Drosophila melanogaster: one gene and its partners. The gene in region 3 interacts genetically with the main gene of each other region. Each region holds a gene or a part of one and is shown on either strand. Other genes may lie near its edges. The genes, in order: Mp20, cdi and Pax.

What was found.
Region 1: of Pax (region 3) and Mp20, changing one enhances a phenotype caused by changing the other (phenotypic enhancement), as found in Drosophila melanogaster (one study listed by BioGRID).
Region 2: of Pax (region 3) and cdi, changing one suppresses a phenotype caused by changing the other (phenotypic suppression), as found in Drosophila melanogaster (one study listed by BioGRID).

What each region holds. Positions count from the first base shown.
Region 1 is NT_033778.4:13,244,785-13,249,664, forward strand, and holds Mp20 (muscle protein 20), read left to right. Parts: upstream 1-1,885; 5' UTR 1,886-1,958; coding exon 1,959-1,988; intron 1,989-2,132; coding exon 2,133-2,465; intron 2,466-2,532; coding exon 2,533-2,720; coding exon of another isoform or gene 2,721-2,724; exon of another isoform or gene 2,725-2,975; intron 2,976-4,027; coding exon 4,028-4,046; 3' UTR 4,047-4,096; downstream 4,097-4,880. Other genes in the region: CG4712 (uncharacterized protein), read right to left, coding at 4,159-4,547, 4,617-4,713.
Region 2 is NT_033777.3:19,090,978-19,095,979, reverse strand, and holds the start of cdi (center divider), read left to right. Parts: upstream 1-1,709; 5' UTR 1,710-2,291; intron 2,292-5,002. Other genes in the region: ATPsynD (ATP synthase, subunit D), read right to left, coding at 35-571; mRpL55 (mitochondrial ribosomal protein L55), read left to right, coding at 1,162-1,338, 1,395-1,541.
Region 3 is NT_033779.5:19,420,489-19,425,928, reverse strand, and holds the start of Pax (paxillin), read left to right. Parts: upstream 1-2,376; 5' UTR 2,377-2,514; exon of another isoform or gene 2,515-2,650; intron 2,651-5,440.

The DNA of each region.
Region 1 (4,880 bases), on a different chromosome or scaffold from region 3:
CTGGCCAAACACATACACAATGCTCTGCTCTGTGCAATTTTGGCACAAACGTTGATGAGGATGTCGTCTGATGAGGATGCATGAGGGACCCCCAGGGTTCGGATAATCATTTAATCAGCCATTTGTTTGAATTGCAATCCAAGGGAGACGATAGTAATAGTACTTTCCAAAACCATCGGGTGTGTGCCATCGCGTAATTGAATTTGATTCTTTCACTTGACGAGCCACACCCCTCAGCAAATGCAATTACAATAATTTAATTGCCGTGAAAAATGGCCGCCCGGCTGCGGGGCATTAATTAAATTTTTGCGAAGACAATAGTCAAAACCCAGCCTGCGGCGCATTTAATTCACTTAAATGGCAACCAATGCGGTTTACTTCAATTCGCCGCGTATTTGTTAATTAAAATAAAAATGTAAGAAAGAAAACGCTCCGTCGAAGTGCCGCGGGCCAAGGAGGCGGTAAAAATAAACGAACACGCCATCTGTTTTTCTCCGCCGTGGGAAAAACAAGAAAAGCCTGGAAAATCTCAACTATTTCGGCTCGGCTCCACCTGTTCGGCGTCGAGAATTTAGAAATAGTCGCGCTACCCATAGCACAAATTCGTCGCGCCTTTTACGTGTATCTCGTAGATTTTCCGACTGTTATCGAAATTGTATCTGCTCTAGCAAAAGATTTTCCCCCATCCCGAAATAGATGTCGCTGTGCGATTTGTTTGTTTGGCTTTCCCCCCCGAAATACTCTAATAAAATATTAATTTTTGTGGGGGGGCACGAACTTTGACAGTTCCCAGTCGCCTTGACTGGTCGCCTCTTCACTTTATTGCCCTCTCGTTAATTTTGAAGGCATGTTTTGCTGATGGCTGTCCTCGAACAAAGTGCTTTTCAATAACACAAGGCACATAATTCAAGTTAATTTCCCGCTCATAAAGTAATCGCTGTCCTTTTTACTTTTTAAAGCTTGCAAATTGCTCCGTCTTTTCCTGGAGACATTATTTATATCCATTATCAGATTATAAATACATTGTATGAATATTTCAATAATATTTATAAAAATTTAAAACATTAGTATGATAGTAGTATGATGAAATTATTTCGAATATTCTCTTAATAAACTAATTGGCATGTTCTAAATTGTGAATATTGCAAAGGATGCTCCTCACATTTTGTAAATCTCTGTAAATTCTGAAGGACGTGTCTTTGGAAGATTTGATTATCAAATATATTTGAAATACCAATTAAATCCAATTTGAAAAACATTTTCAGTAAAAATTAATAAGTACATGTCATTTTTGTAAACTTTTTATGCAGAAAGTCCTTTTAACAAGAAATTGCCATGTCGCTGATCTGATCTGATAACTGTGAATAATTGTGAGGATGTCCATGTCATCATAAATTTCGCTGTAAATTCTGGAGGATGTGTCGCTCGATGGGAACCAATTTGCTGCCATTTTTAATTATGACCCAATGCATGCCGATGGAAATTACGGGCAACGAATGCACGCGCCCGAAATGAGTTCAAAATGACAGCAGGACAGCAAGTCCGAAAAAATGCGGCTAACATGCAAATGAGCAGTACTTTGAAGAGCACAATCTACACACACTCGCACACACACACACACACACATACCATCGATTGGAAATGTGTGAAAATAATGAAGCATTTGGATTTTTCCTTTTTCTCAACCGATGATGATCTAAAATTATAACGCACGATTCATACGCGGGAGACGGGCAAAGTCGGCGTTTCGAATATATAGAACGCCCACGCTGCAAAATTTTCACACACTCGACTCCGAATTCGGATATATTTTTGGAAAATTCTTGAACGAATTCGTCGGAGAACGCTCTCTCGCGCTTTAAAAGCCGCATACGCCCCGTTGGCTGGCATCAGTGTTAGCTTGTCAGAGCTTTAGTGAAGATCCCGCAGGACCCGAAACCAAAAACCAAGAATCAAACATGTCTCTTGAGCGTGCCGTTCGTGCCAAGGTGAATACTCAATCAGTGAAGAAAAAAGATCCTTAAGAAAACATAGATATAAAGGAAAATAGATGAAAGAAATGTGAAATTACCAAACAGTTTTGTGAAATATTGTGCCTAAAATATGAATTTTTTCTTATCCGATCCACCTAGATTGCCAGCAAGCGCAATCCCGAGATGGACAAGGAGGCCCAGGAGTGGATCGAGGCCATCATTGCCGAGAAGTTCCCCGCCGGCCAGTCCTACGAGGATGTGCTCAAGGACGGTCAGGTGCTGTGCAAACTGATCAACGTGCTGTCGCCCAATGCCGTGCCCAAGGTCAACTCCTCGGGCGGCCAGTTCAAGTTCATGGAGAACATCAACAACTTCCAGAAGGCCCTGAAGGAGTACGGTGTGCCCGACATCGATGTCTTCCAGACCGTCGATCTGTACGAGAAGAAGGATATTGCCAACGTTACCAACACCATCTTCGCTTTGGGCCGTGCCGTAAGTTTCAAATCGCCTTCTATCCCATTGTCAGCCAGGCTAATCCTTGAATTGCGGCTCATTGCAGACCTACAAGCATGCCGACTTCAAGGGTCCCTTCCTGGGCCCCAAGCCCGCCGATGAGTGCAAGCGCGATTTCACCGAAGAGCAGCTGAAGGCTGGCCAGACCATTGTGGGTCTGCAGGCCGGTTCCAACAAGGGAGCCACCCAGGCTGGCCAGAACCTCGGCGCTGGCCGCAAGATCCTGCTCGGCAAGTAAGCGCCAAAGGATGGCCAGGATGTCCACACCCTTTTCTACACTTATGCTAAGTGAACACACCCATATATATTTTGTATGATGAAAAACATGAAGAACACAATGATATTCCTCACCAAAGCAAAACTCAACACCAATGAACACACACTCACACAAAACAACACATAAAAGCAACGCAAAGGCTTGTCGCCTTATATTAAGTATACGCCTAAGTTAATCTATTTATGAGTACAATAAAGTAATTCAAAGAACCCAGTTTTCCACTTTCCGATCACCTCTATAACCTTGAGCTCTCTACGTTCTTGCTGCTGTTGTTTGTGTGGGTGTACAGACTTTATTTATCTGCCTATGGTGCGTTCTAAAAATGAATTTCATACCTATAGCCATATAGCTGAATATATATATATACTATATATGCATCATCGTATCAACGTTATAAAGCAAACATAAACACACTCTGTTGAGTGTGTGCGATGTGTGAAACATTCCATCGAAGCGTGTCGAGGTCAGAACATCAGCGTTGGGCAGAGTTATTATCAAGATGGGCATCTCGACACTGACTTTTACATATATTTTATATGTAGCGAAAGGAATTTCCCCCAAACTCACCTGTCCGAGGCGTGAAATTGTTCCCACGAAAGAACACACACAACATTATGTATTGCAGGTGCAACTATGCTGGTGCCAAAAATGAAAAAAACCAGACATCTCTCGCGAATATTTCACGCCTTCAGCTGGCACTTTTCTAATTTCTCGATTTATTATAGTTTGTCAGTGGGTGGAATTGATCTCTGTTGGCTTATTATGCTGAAAGCAAAGAGCAGGAATGGAAGAATCTGGAAATATTTTGTATTAATTGTATGTTAGATCTATTGAAAAAATATGTCTTAGAACGCAGAATATATTCAGCATGGATTTGTTATTAGTTTTAAATGACGCAGTCTGCAAATGAAATATTTTCCTCATTCGTTTTGGCTAATTGAAGTGTACTCAGGTCGTGTGTACAATATTTTAGACTCAAATAGTGCTCAGAAAGGATGATTAAGAATAAAGCGTGCCAATTTCCGAATCGGTATATTTAGAATTTTGAAAATTTCCAACAATTGGTTGCTAGAAATATTAATGAGAACAACCAAACGGTATTTCCCCTTGGTTTTGTTGTTTTCTTCAACATATATATATGGATGGAATAAATAAAAGCAGGCAAATAAATAACAAACTTGACACTGAAAATGTGGGGGATATATATATATATATACATATATATTAATAATGGTTCATTAAGAGATTTTCTCTACCGTTTCAGGGTTATTATTGATGCATAAGCTTACGACTAGGAAGTCTTGAATTTTCCATTGTTTATAGCATTAATAAACGACAAATATTATATTATTTTTGTGGAAAAATGTATTTGGTTGAAAAGTGGTAATAGCCCTATTAAATAATCGAGCTCTTTTTTCGAGGTGACATCAAACTTTGCAGCTGATTGGTAAGTGATTTTAGGGTTTCCCGGAGACTCGAGACCATTTTCTCCTTTTCACGAACATAGGCGACAGTTCGATCGTAGTCATACATCAATGCGGGCATAGCCAGGATACCACCCTGGCATGTCAAATCTCTCATCCGGCGCCTAATAGCCTTGTGCTCCAGTTTTCGGCGACACAGCTCGGATTTTAGTTTATTTTTCAACTTGTGCTTTTCCAGCAGGTTATCTTTAAGAACGTGAATTTTGTTCTTAAGCTCGTGGGACTTCTCTCGATTGTGCTTAGTCATATGCAGTTCGGTGTGGTAGAGCCTGCGCTGTCTTTTTAATTCAATATTTCGCTCTGATGGAGATGATTATTATGCATATAATAATGAACAAATTTTAAGCAGAGATGTTCATAGGACTATACCTTCAATCTTCTTTTCTAGGCCGATCGTTTTGTTTTGCACGGAAATAAAGTCATTCAAGCTCACACCGTCGCAAACCGTTTCTACATCTCTTATTTTCTAAATGGAGATGTTTCAGAAAAGTATGTTGATACAAGTAAAACAATCAAATTAGAAAACATATGAAAAATTGGAAAACAATATTGGTGATAGTAAATATAATGAAAAACTACATGGCTGGATAGTGGGAAGCAATGTGTTGTAAAATATTGTGAATAACTTAATAG
Region 2 (5,002 bases), on a different chromosome or scaffold from region 3:
AGCCAGTGTCAGAGTGCTCCTCGTGCGCTCCGGTTTAGTGGTGTCCCTGGGCTTCGGCCTCCAGCTGCTCCTTGGACTTGTAGCCGACCTGCTCCTCGGGAGTGTGGGGCCAGAAGGTGGGCTTGTTGAGGGGATCGAGTGCGCTATCGGGGAATGCGTCGCGGTAGTCCTCCATGGTCATCTGGTCGTAGGGCAGCAGAGACTTGAGATGGGCGATCTCCTTTTGGTAGTTCTGAATGCGCTGCTCCGAGGCCTTCTTGTAGGCATCGATTTCGCTCTGCGACGCCTTGATCTCGGCATCCACCTGGGACGACACCTTGTCCTGGGGATAGGGCACCTTCAGGGCTTCGTACTGCTTCTGGAAGCTATCGACGAGTCCGGCCACTGGCACAAGCTTCTTGTAGTTGGCCCAATCGATCTGGGGTGGGCACTCGGGATTGGCCAGCACGGCGCGCACATAGATGTCCGACTTGGTCTTGAAGGCGCCGAAGCTGCTCTTCTGGTTGGCGGGCACGCGCTCGGCGAGAGCGGACCAGTTGATCGAGGATTGGGCGATACGGCGGGCGGCCATTCTGCACAGATACTGCAAGACAACAACAAAAGCGGGGATGAGGTTAGGTTTTTGGGTTTATAGAGGTGGTAAGTGATTTCTAGGTGTCCTGGAACTGTGCAGCGATATTCTTATTAGTTGAAATGTAATCTCTGCTTCTTTAGTTGCAGACTTATCGACATAATGCACGGCGAGTTATGCTCGCAAAAATTATGTAATTTTTTTCAATCCTCAATGTTCCTTCAAACTAAAAACGCGTTTGCAGTCCTTTCCTCGAGGCTTGCAGACTAATCGCTGTTGTAGCCCAACCGTGCGCTTTTTTTTTATTATTTTTGCAGTGTTTAACGTAACGTACTTATATTTTCAAGGAGAAAAATAAGAATTTCTGCCTCTGCAACCAACACTTACACTTTGAGTACGAATGTGACCAGAGCTGGGGAAAATACCACATAATGTGGAAACTGAACCAGGGCTACCACAGATTCTTAATAACTAATTTAGGAGTCTTTAAATCTTACCCTCGGGTCGGTCACACTATCAGCTGCCTGGCAGCAAAAACACGATTTAAGTGTAGCTCTTATTTAGTGTAAATATTGTGATTATCAATTAAAATGTTGCTGAAACAGTTGCCCCAGGCTGTTCAGCAGATACGCTGCATCTCATCGGCCACGACGGCGGTTACCAGGCTGCATCGCTCGGTTTACTGCCGGCTATATCCCACAGTTGTGGTGCAACCCGATGGATCCACGATAAACATCCGCTATCACGAGCCCAGGAAGATTATCAAGGTAACGTTAGTTACTATAACTTAACGAAACCATAATTAACGAGTACCATCTACTAGCTTCCCTTGGATCTGAGCACCTTAACCGATGCGGAGCGCAGAGCGAGATTGGAGGCCCGCAAGCCGCGCAAGAAGGTCAAGATCATGGAGGAGGTGGAGGACAACTTCAACGCCAAGAAGTACATGAAGTACATCAAAAAGAAGTAGCCGCATTTTATTCACTATTTGTTAAATAAAACACGAAAGCCCGTTATATAATTGTTTTAAATTAGAATTAAGAAATTGTGCTCGTTATCGATAGTGTATATCGCACATCTGGTATTTTTGTTATCGGTTTCAGCATGGGCCCTCCACTTTTTTCCACCATCCCACAACGGTCACTCTAATCGAGTCGGAAAACAAAGTCGGACGTCTAGCTGCGCGTCGCTCCCGAAGAACTGTTAATTTGTGGACGCTTTTTCGCGAGTGCAGACATAAATGAAAGCAACATATCTTTAGCTCCATTCCAGACTGGATCATAGGCTATAGCCCGTTAGAGCAGTGCCAGTGAATCGGTTACCGAATTATAATCTCGCTCTGCGTCGGCTGAGTGGTAATGTTGAATGGACAGTCGCGTCTAACAAAAAAAAAAAAAAACAAGTACACACAACCAACGACGAATGCACATAAACAAGACGAGACAGCAAACGCAGAATCGAGTGAAAACCTATTTTAAAACACCAGAGCTATATTTATTTTGTTGACGCTCAGGATTTTCGGTCCTCGCATTTGTGATGTCTGCGGGTGCGTGTGAGTGCGCGAGTGCGAATGTGTTGGTTGCATATCACGGCGGATGCGAATAACTGCAATTGCAATAGAGAGCAGACACATACACACAAACACAAGCATAATTGGATTATGGCCACACGGCAATAAGAACGGAGGGAGAGAGAGAGAGCAGTCGCCAAAACCAAACGGGTAAATAAATAGTATTAGCAGAAATCGGTTAAAAGCCAGAATTAAATGGATTAGACCTGTGCTATCGTTGGCATTTCCCCATCGCTGTGTGCGTGCGTGTCTGTGTGCGGAAGCAACCTAGAGATGGGCCTGACCTTAGCTTTCGCACACTGCCTGCCAAAAGTTGCCACCCGCTGCTTTCGCTGCATCTTGACACAACATGGTTTTCAAGGTTCTACCGAGATAAAAACACAAATATAATTTCGTAACGGGAAATGCAAAATTGTCATGTACTATTGTATATTTAAACATTTAGAATTGAGGGTAAATAGGTTTGCAATCTTATATTTTAACTTACGTTGATTGTATTTTGTCTTAAATATAATAAAACATAATGCGTAAATAATGTGTCTATTTATACTTCGTAAATGCTAAATTTAAAGTAAACATTGTAGAGCTAAAACTTGTTACTTTTTCACATCTGTTTCGAATAGCATAGCCATATGATCTAATTTGAAAAGCAAATGCTTAAATTTTTTGTGAGCTCAGCAGAATCATTTCCATATTCATTTGAATCGAACCTGTTGTCACCATGCGATGCACTCGGAAATCTGGCTCATCTCTAACACGTGCGTGTGTGCGAGCGTCTGGAATTCGAAATTTGAAATTCGAAATGGGGAAGGTTTTGTGCGAAGGGGAGCGTAAATATTTTCGTAAGCAGCGGAAATGTAAAAATAACACAAACACATTTGCAAGTTATGATGAAGATGCTTCCGATGTTGGTGCTGGTTTTCCCAGCATTCGCTCTCTCCTTAGTCTCAGTTTCTCCCTTTTTTTCCGATTCGGTCGATTCAGCGGAAAGACAGTTTTCCACGTAAAACTGCGACAGATGTTCACGGCTCATTATCCGGGGATCGAGAAGCTATAGCTCCCAATTCGAATGCACATTCCACTTGGGTTTCCTCCCGAAATGCAGCTGCCCTATTGGGATTTTGCCGGTTTGGTGGTTGTTGGCTGTTGCTACTGCTGCATTTTTGTGGTGTTTTTTTTTTTTTCGTTGTGGTCTTTCGTGGTGTTTATAAAATTAACAGTAAACTCCCCCGTACTTCCGCCCTTGGCAGCTGGCTGTTAATGCTGCCTAAGCTAATTTGTTTTCATTTGTGTGTGTCCGCATAGAGGGGAATAAAATAAATAAAATAAACGAAACGATTTGTGCTCACTCTACGCGCCCTTCCTATTGTATTTGTTATTGTTCGATTTTTGCACCTCCTTCGGTTGCATTCATCAAGTGTTTTGTTTTGTTCGATCTTCTTATAGGACTTGCACTTGAGGCTGAAAATAAACCCATTTGGTTTTCGTTTTTGTTGACGTTCTTGTTGGATTTCTTCGATCCTAAAGTTTATTTACGTATAGTTTTGCTGCAGATCGATGGGCGGCACGTGAGTGCCCTCCCCCCGAAAGCCGACTGGCTGCCAATTAGTCGAAATGTCTAAATGGCGCAGTGATCGTTGGACATTCAGAAATAGTTTAGAAAACGACGGTTCTGTACCAAAGGAAAGTGAAATTTTTGTCTGCCCGGCTAATTAAGCTTATCTTATGCTTTCAGTCGAAAATTCCATTGCCTTTGAATTTATTTGGTAGATTTGTATACACACATATTTCTCCTCGCTTTCCATTTCGTTACGTGAATCACTTGTTGTACGGCCTCTGGAGTCTAAACTTTAAACTCAAGAGAATAAAAAACTAACGATAACTGGCACCTCACACCTTCGATGGGCTTGGAATTTATTCAAAATACACCAAATTTACATACATAGATTCTTTTTCATAAGTAGGCATACATATAGGTAGAGAGCGGATGCAGCCAGCACCTCCCCGGCTGAATGAGTTGGTAGTTTTTCCAAGTGTGGGTGTATCTGTATCTCTCAGATAGCCAGCGATATATAGGCGTAGAAGAATTTATGAGCGCGACAACGACATGAATTTCATTCAGTCTTTGTTGTTTCTGTGGGCCCAAGAGTGTGCCATGTCCCATTTTCCACTTCTTTTTTTTTTGTGTTTCTCGGTTTTTGTTGTTCTTTGATAATTTTGCTCTGCCTCGGCGTCTCATCTCTTTGTTTATAGAAATTTCTTCTTCTTGAGCTGCCTTGGCTTCTTTTCGCCGTCTCCTCGTCTTTGTTTTTCTTTCTACACGGCAATGAAGTGGCATTTTTTCTGCCGCTGACCAACTTTCCTTTTCATTAACGCTTTTTTCGGACTCTAAACGCAAGACGCTTCCTGAACGCATCACTTCTCGGTGCGTTACTTGCTCCCTACTTGAATGTGCCTGAACAGCAAATCATTTCCAATTTCATAACCAAGATTTATGCCTCTTTAATGGCCCAGCTGAAACGATGCAGTGTGCATTGCACACAATTCTCCTGGCACGCGTCTACGTAGGCGAAGATACCACGATGATGCTGCTGCTGATGATGATGATGATGCAGACGGTGGTGGCCGCGACGACCCTTGGCCCCATAAAAATGCAACTTGATCTCACAGCACGGCAACAAAGTCACCGCAGTCGACAGCGGTTTATTGACTCGAACCTTGTGGCGGTTAACGGTTTAACATTCGTTTTGGAAAATGCCATAAACGCCATCGAAAGCAAACGGCGATAAGTGGTGTGCTGAAATTAATTTCATTGGTTTCTCTCTAGCAAACATATTAGGAAATGTATTAATTAAATAGCC
Region 3 (5,440 bases):
CTGTGTATCTTTTTAGTTATTAATCTGTTATTCACTTCTGTTTTAAGAAATTGTTATTATGTAAAAAAGTTTTGAGTGATCTTCAGTCATTGACCGAACAAGATGTGTTATTTGTTTAATATATTTCCCAATATACAAAAATATTTATTATTGAATATTTCTTGAAACTCAATATTTACTGTTTTTCGAAATTCTTATCGTAAGCATACAATCATTAATCACGATTAAAAATGGTTGTGTTACGTGCTTTAAAATTCTTGATGATGAATTTCAAGTGCTCGTCTTATCTTTGAACCCGTTCATATGTACATGGGTCCATACATACATATGTACATACATACATACTTATGTACATACATACATATGTGCAAAGTGCACAAGTAAATGAATGAGCTTTTAATTCGGGAAGTGGCTATTGCGATAGCTGTGGTCCGATTCGCGCATTCCTTGCACTTTTATGAATAATCCTAATTCCTTGAATCGAACATAAAAGCATCGCGCTCAGCACTTCCAGTGTGAAATCATTTACAATTCTAGAAAGCAAGGAGGGTGTGGTTTCTTGCAGCCCCAAGTTCGAAACCCTTGTACTCATGTGAATGATCTGGTCTGAGAGAGGCAGCTTAATCAGCCGGGCTGTATTTGCTTTCTTCGCTGCCCCACAGTGCTCTTTTAGTCTCCATCAGCGAAATAAAAGTCTACATGTCGTCTCACTTTATTTTCTTTATGACACAATTCTTCGCTGTTTCGGAATGTCTTTTGATAAAAATATAAAAGTGAAGCAAAACGAAATCTGCAGCCGAGAGTTGTGTGTCCAGAAATTCTTAAGAAATGACTAAAGGCCAGGCCACTAACACTTATGAAGAATTCCAGCTGACTTGCCCTACACCTACGCACAGTGGTCTAAGAGCCCGCTAAAATTTGCTTATCGGCTGGGCTTGTAGGATTCTAGATCTTAAGAAACTTTCATATAGAGCTTTTGCAAAATCATGTTAAATAACAAATAATATTTCAGATCACTTTTTAGATTACAATAATATAATAATAACTATAATACTGAAATTCGTTCGAGATCTTAAAATCTCAGCATAAATATTCTGCCCTCGAAGCTTTACTTCGCACAGGAAGTAGAGGCTTCAGCTTCATCTCCAACTTCATCTTGATCTTCTCCAGCAACTCAGTTGCATCAATCTTGCTTTGCTGCCATTAGTGAGTGCGCGCCCACTTCATCGCCCACTCGACACGCAATGTCTTCTGTTCGTGTTGCGTGTGCGCACTGTAACAGCAAAGACGAGATGATCTGTCGAGATCGGTTAGGTCTGTCTGGGCATTGAGCGTCGATGGCGTTTTCCGCCGAGGGGAGCACTCCAACTGCAGAGCAATGATCGCTTATGGTTACGGGGAAAGGTTCGCACAGTGGGACGAAAGGTTAAAGAGTTTTTGAGATCCCATTTCTGCCTTTTCTGTGATCGTATCAATGTATATCACAGTGTTCATGGTCATGAAAGTATATAATTAGTTATCTTCTATGTTTGTCGATAAACAATTGTAAAGCCTAAGCAGCTGTTAAGTGATAAGCATTTCCAACATGACTGTCCCAGAGGAATTTTGTTTATACCAATTTTCACTGTCATTTTATGAAACATTTAATCTTGCGGATTGTCTGTACAATTGAAGATAGTTTCAGAAATGTTTTGATATTGGATGCCTTTGACTCACGTTTTCGTTTATTCGTCAGCAACGAAGGGGTTGGTTTTCTTGGCAGCTGGCCCACTGTTCACACACCCAAAGGAAAGCTCCAATCGGGCGACAATATTTTCGTCCGCTCTGGTTTCCTTTCGCTGTGCCTCCCACTTGCGGTCGAAATGCTCAGCCGCAGGCCGCAAGCCAAAATGAAAAGCCACTCCAAGTGAAAAGCTACGTGGTGGGGCTCTTTCTCTCTTTTAACTGGCTCTCTTGGCACTGAAAATAAAATACGACAATATGGACTCTGATTTAAAATACATTTTTTTTAAATTCGATTTTTCAAAATTAGTTTACTACTTGTTTACTAGTTTATTAGTTGTTTACTCAGAAACAACAATAATCATAATACTGGTTTCACAAGCTGTAACCGCTGATACATACTTTTTAAACATTCCTTTAGATATATATTACTTTAGATATAGCCCCTATTACGAAGCTAAGCTATCGTTTTGAATATACTATGCCTATCCATACATCCATACATCTATAAATCTAAGAAGATTTTTTCGCAGTGCAGTTTGTTTACCAGCTCTCAAACGCTTCGCTCTCTTGCTCCCCCGCTCTCCGTGAGCAGCTGCGAGAGAGCCGGAGCGCTCGTCTATTGGAGCCTCAGCATCGGGCCCCCCTTTGGATTTCAGTCGATTGCGACGCTTTTACTGAATCGCGAGCGCAGCGCGTGTGTTTTTCGGAGTCTCTCGATTGCGGTCTCCCAACGGCGTCCTACGATCTCTGGGATTAATATATAGAATATGTGACAACACACTGCCAAAGGTGCAGGCAAAAGTGCACAGATAACGCGATAGAATATACATATAAGAAACCAAGCCTAATCAAAACAAAAGGCAACGAAAAAGTGTTTAACGGCAAACTACGGCGGGAAAAAGTTGATGAAAATCAGTGGAATCGTGTTAGTGGCAGGTTGGAGCGTGGGAAATTGTTTACTTCGAGTGCAAGAACAGTTTGCAGTAAAAAAAAAAGTTGACAAACATCAAAAGATATCTAGCACTAAGATAAACGATAAAGCAGGAATGCCAGAAGCAGTTAGCTAAAAAAAATAATATAATATAATAAACTGGCCAAGATTTATGGATCCGTGTCACTCGCCTTAAGATTCCACTAACTCTTGGCAAATCTTTTCGGCGCGTTGCTCGCAAAACATTTCAATTTCATTAGCATTTCCACTAATTATGGAACTAATTATCAACGGACAAGACATTCGAATATATGACATATTTGCCCAGATCTGGCAGAGCATAGAATTTTGGTTAGCCCCATTAATTTTCGCCTCGGGGCCCCGAACGGATTAAGATCGTGGGTGTGTTGAGATGGAAATTAATTCGGTATTTCTGTGTTTTTCTGGAGGGAAATGACCGAAATAGCCAAACAAACATAACAACAGGCAGCAAAAGCAATTAAATTGTGCCCACTTAATCTATTAAAATTATGACATTTTTCACATATTTCAAGCAATCGAAGCCAAGTGCATTCTCACGAGTGGTGGTGGTAGTGCGATGGGGGGGGGGGGGACTTCCTTCCCCTTCCCCTCGTAAAAGTATCTCGAGTTACGACAGCAGATGGAAATGCTGGAGAATGATGTAAACTCGGCTGACATAGTGCGCACAAATGAATATTTTGTTGTTGGGGGGTTCTGCACTTACGAGAATCGCTTTCGTTTTCTCCCCAATATTTTGTATCTCGCAGATACGTTCAGTGGATGCCATTTGTTTACGACCAGACAGCTGCTGTCTTTGTCTCTCCGATTGTCTGTGCGTTTTGAAACCTCTAACTAAGTATCTACAGATCACTCTGGATCTCTGGATTATTTGGGTTTAAAAGCTCGTTTTAAGCCCCAACTACTTAGCACCTCTGGATTCTCCATCATCGTAATTCATAGTGCAGTGAGTTCATCGCCAGGTTTGAGTTCGATTTTCGTTTGCTCAGCGAGTTGCTCTGTGTTTTGTTGTTGTTGTTCCTTGTTTCTGTTCTTTCAACTGGAAACAAGATTCTTATCGCCCAGCCATACAAATTCAATTAGAGTGTGTTGTTTCGATTGCTAGCGAAAGATGAGTGGCTTCGATAGATTTCGAAATCGTTAATTGTTAGCAGCGAGTTGATGTGCAATTAAAACATTGGGTTAGATTCATTGCTCACAAATATTTTGAAATAAATAAGTGCAATACTATTGAATTGTTTGCAATCGACAAATATAACCAATTAAGCTTCCATTGAGCCAATCAAAAGACATTGATATTTAATTCCAGAAAAGCCTTTTATCTGCTCAGTACGTAGGCCATTGGCCAATATAGGGTCTATATATCTTATCAAGACCCCAAAGGCCCCAAAAGTCAGTGGGCGATAGCTCGTCGCTTTTTCCCGAACCTATTACAGAAGTGGAATGTGAAAAGCACGCACAGTTTACAGCGGCATAAATTGGCCAAGTTTATTGAAAGGCCCGGCTAAAGGCCACTGAGCGGTGAAGAGAGATCGGTATCACCCACACAAATGAATTTCCCTGGGCTGATACCCACTTTTCCGTTTGGCCACGCATTGCGTTTTCACCTTAGCGCCTTCGGCAAGGTCAACACTCGCATTCACACACATTTTATCTACTTACTAATAAAATATTTATATTGAGATCGCTAGGAATTTCCTGCAAAATAAACACGAAATTGTGCCTTTGACTTTTGAATTTGACTTCGTAGAAGGAAGACCGAATCGAGAACAACAATTTCGGCCCGACGTCATTCCCAAATGGACTGAGTAATGCCTCAGGTGTGGAGGTAAATGGATTTGGACTTGACTATAGCCAAGACCTGGAAGGAAAGTGAGATTTTTATTTTCTTATTGCCCTTCCTTTTGGCAACGATCTGCGGAAATCTCTCGTATTTTCAATTAATTTCGCTCGATTTTCCCAGTTTAGCCTCCCTTTGTTAGACGACGAAACGTCGCCTTTGATTTGCTAGAAATGTTTTTTTTTTTTGTTTTTTTATTTTTCTTTTGGATATTTTTAGTTGGCGATCATTGGTGTTGACGTAATTTGGCAACCTTGATTCCCCGTTCCCTTCTCGATACTCGTATTTTTGGCCCGGCTCGCTTTGTGTTCGGTCGGTGAATTTATGTTTATTATTTTTTACCTTTTTCCAATGTGTCGTTATTTGTTTGGAACGAAAATCTAAAATGTGGCCTGCATGTTCATTTTGGTATTTTTATGCTTCCATAAATCTGTCTTTATAGACCGTTTGTTGGCTCAACTAAATCTACAGGCCATCGTAAATTGAGTTAGTTGCATAGATCATCTATTGAGATTCACCCACGCACATTGGGATTAGGAAGTCAGAGTAACTGGTCCGGACTTTTTGGTCTGATTTATCGCTCTTGTTGGTGTTTTTATGGATCTTTAGATACGGTTAGATTGATTTGCATCTTCAGTGATTACGCTATAAAGAACCATTTTTGACTTCTCTATCTTTTTGATCTTTAGATACGGAAGATTAAGGTGCATCTTAAGTAGAGTAATCACTTCAGATGAAGATCATTTGACTTGTTTGACAGTGGACTTTCATTGACTTAACTAAATATCTTTGTTTCGAGTATTGATTTAGGTAATTTATTTCTTAGGTTTGAAGCATGATGAACTGATGAACTGACAGACAATGTTTACATTACCAGTAGATTTATTTCTCGTCTTTTTGAGAGC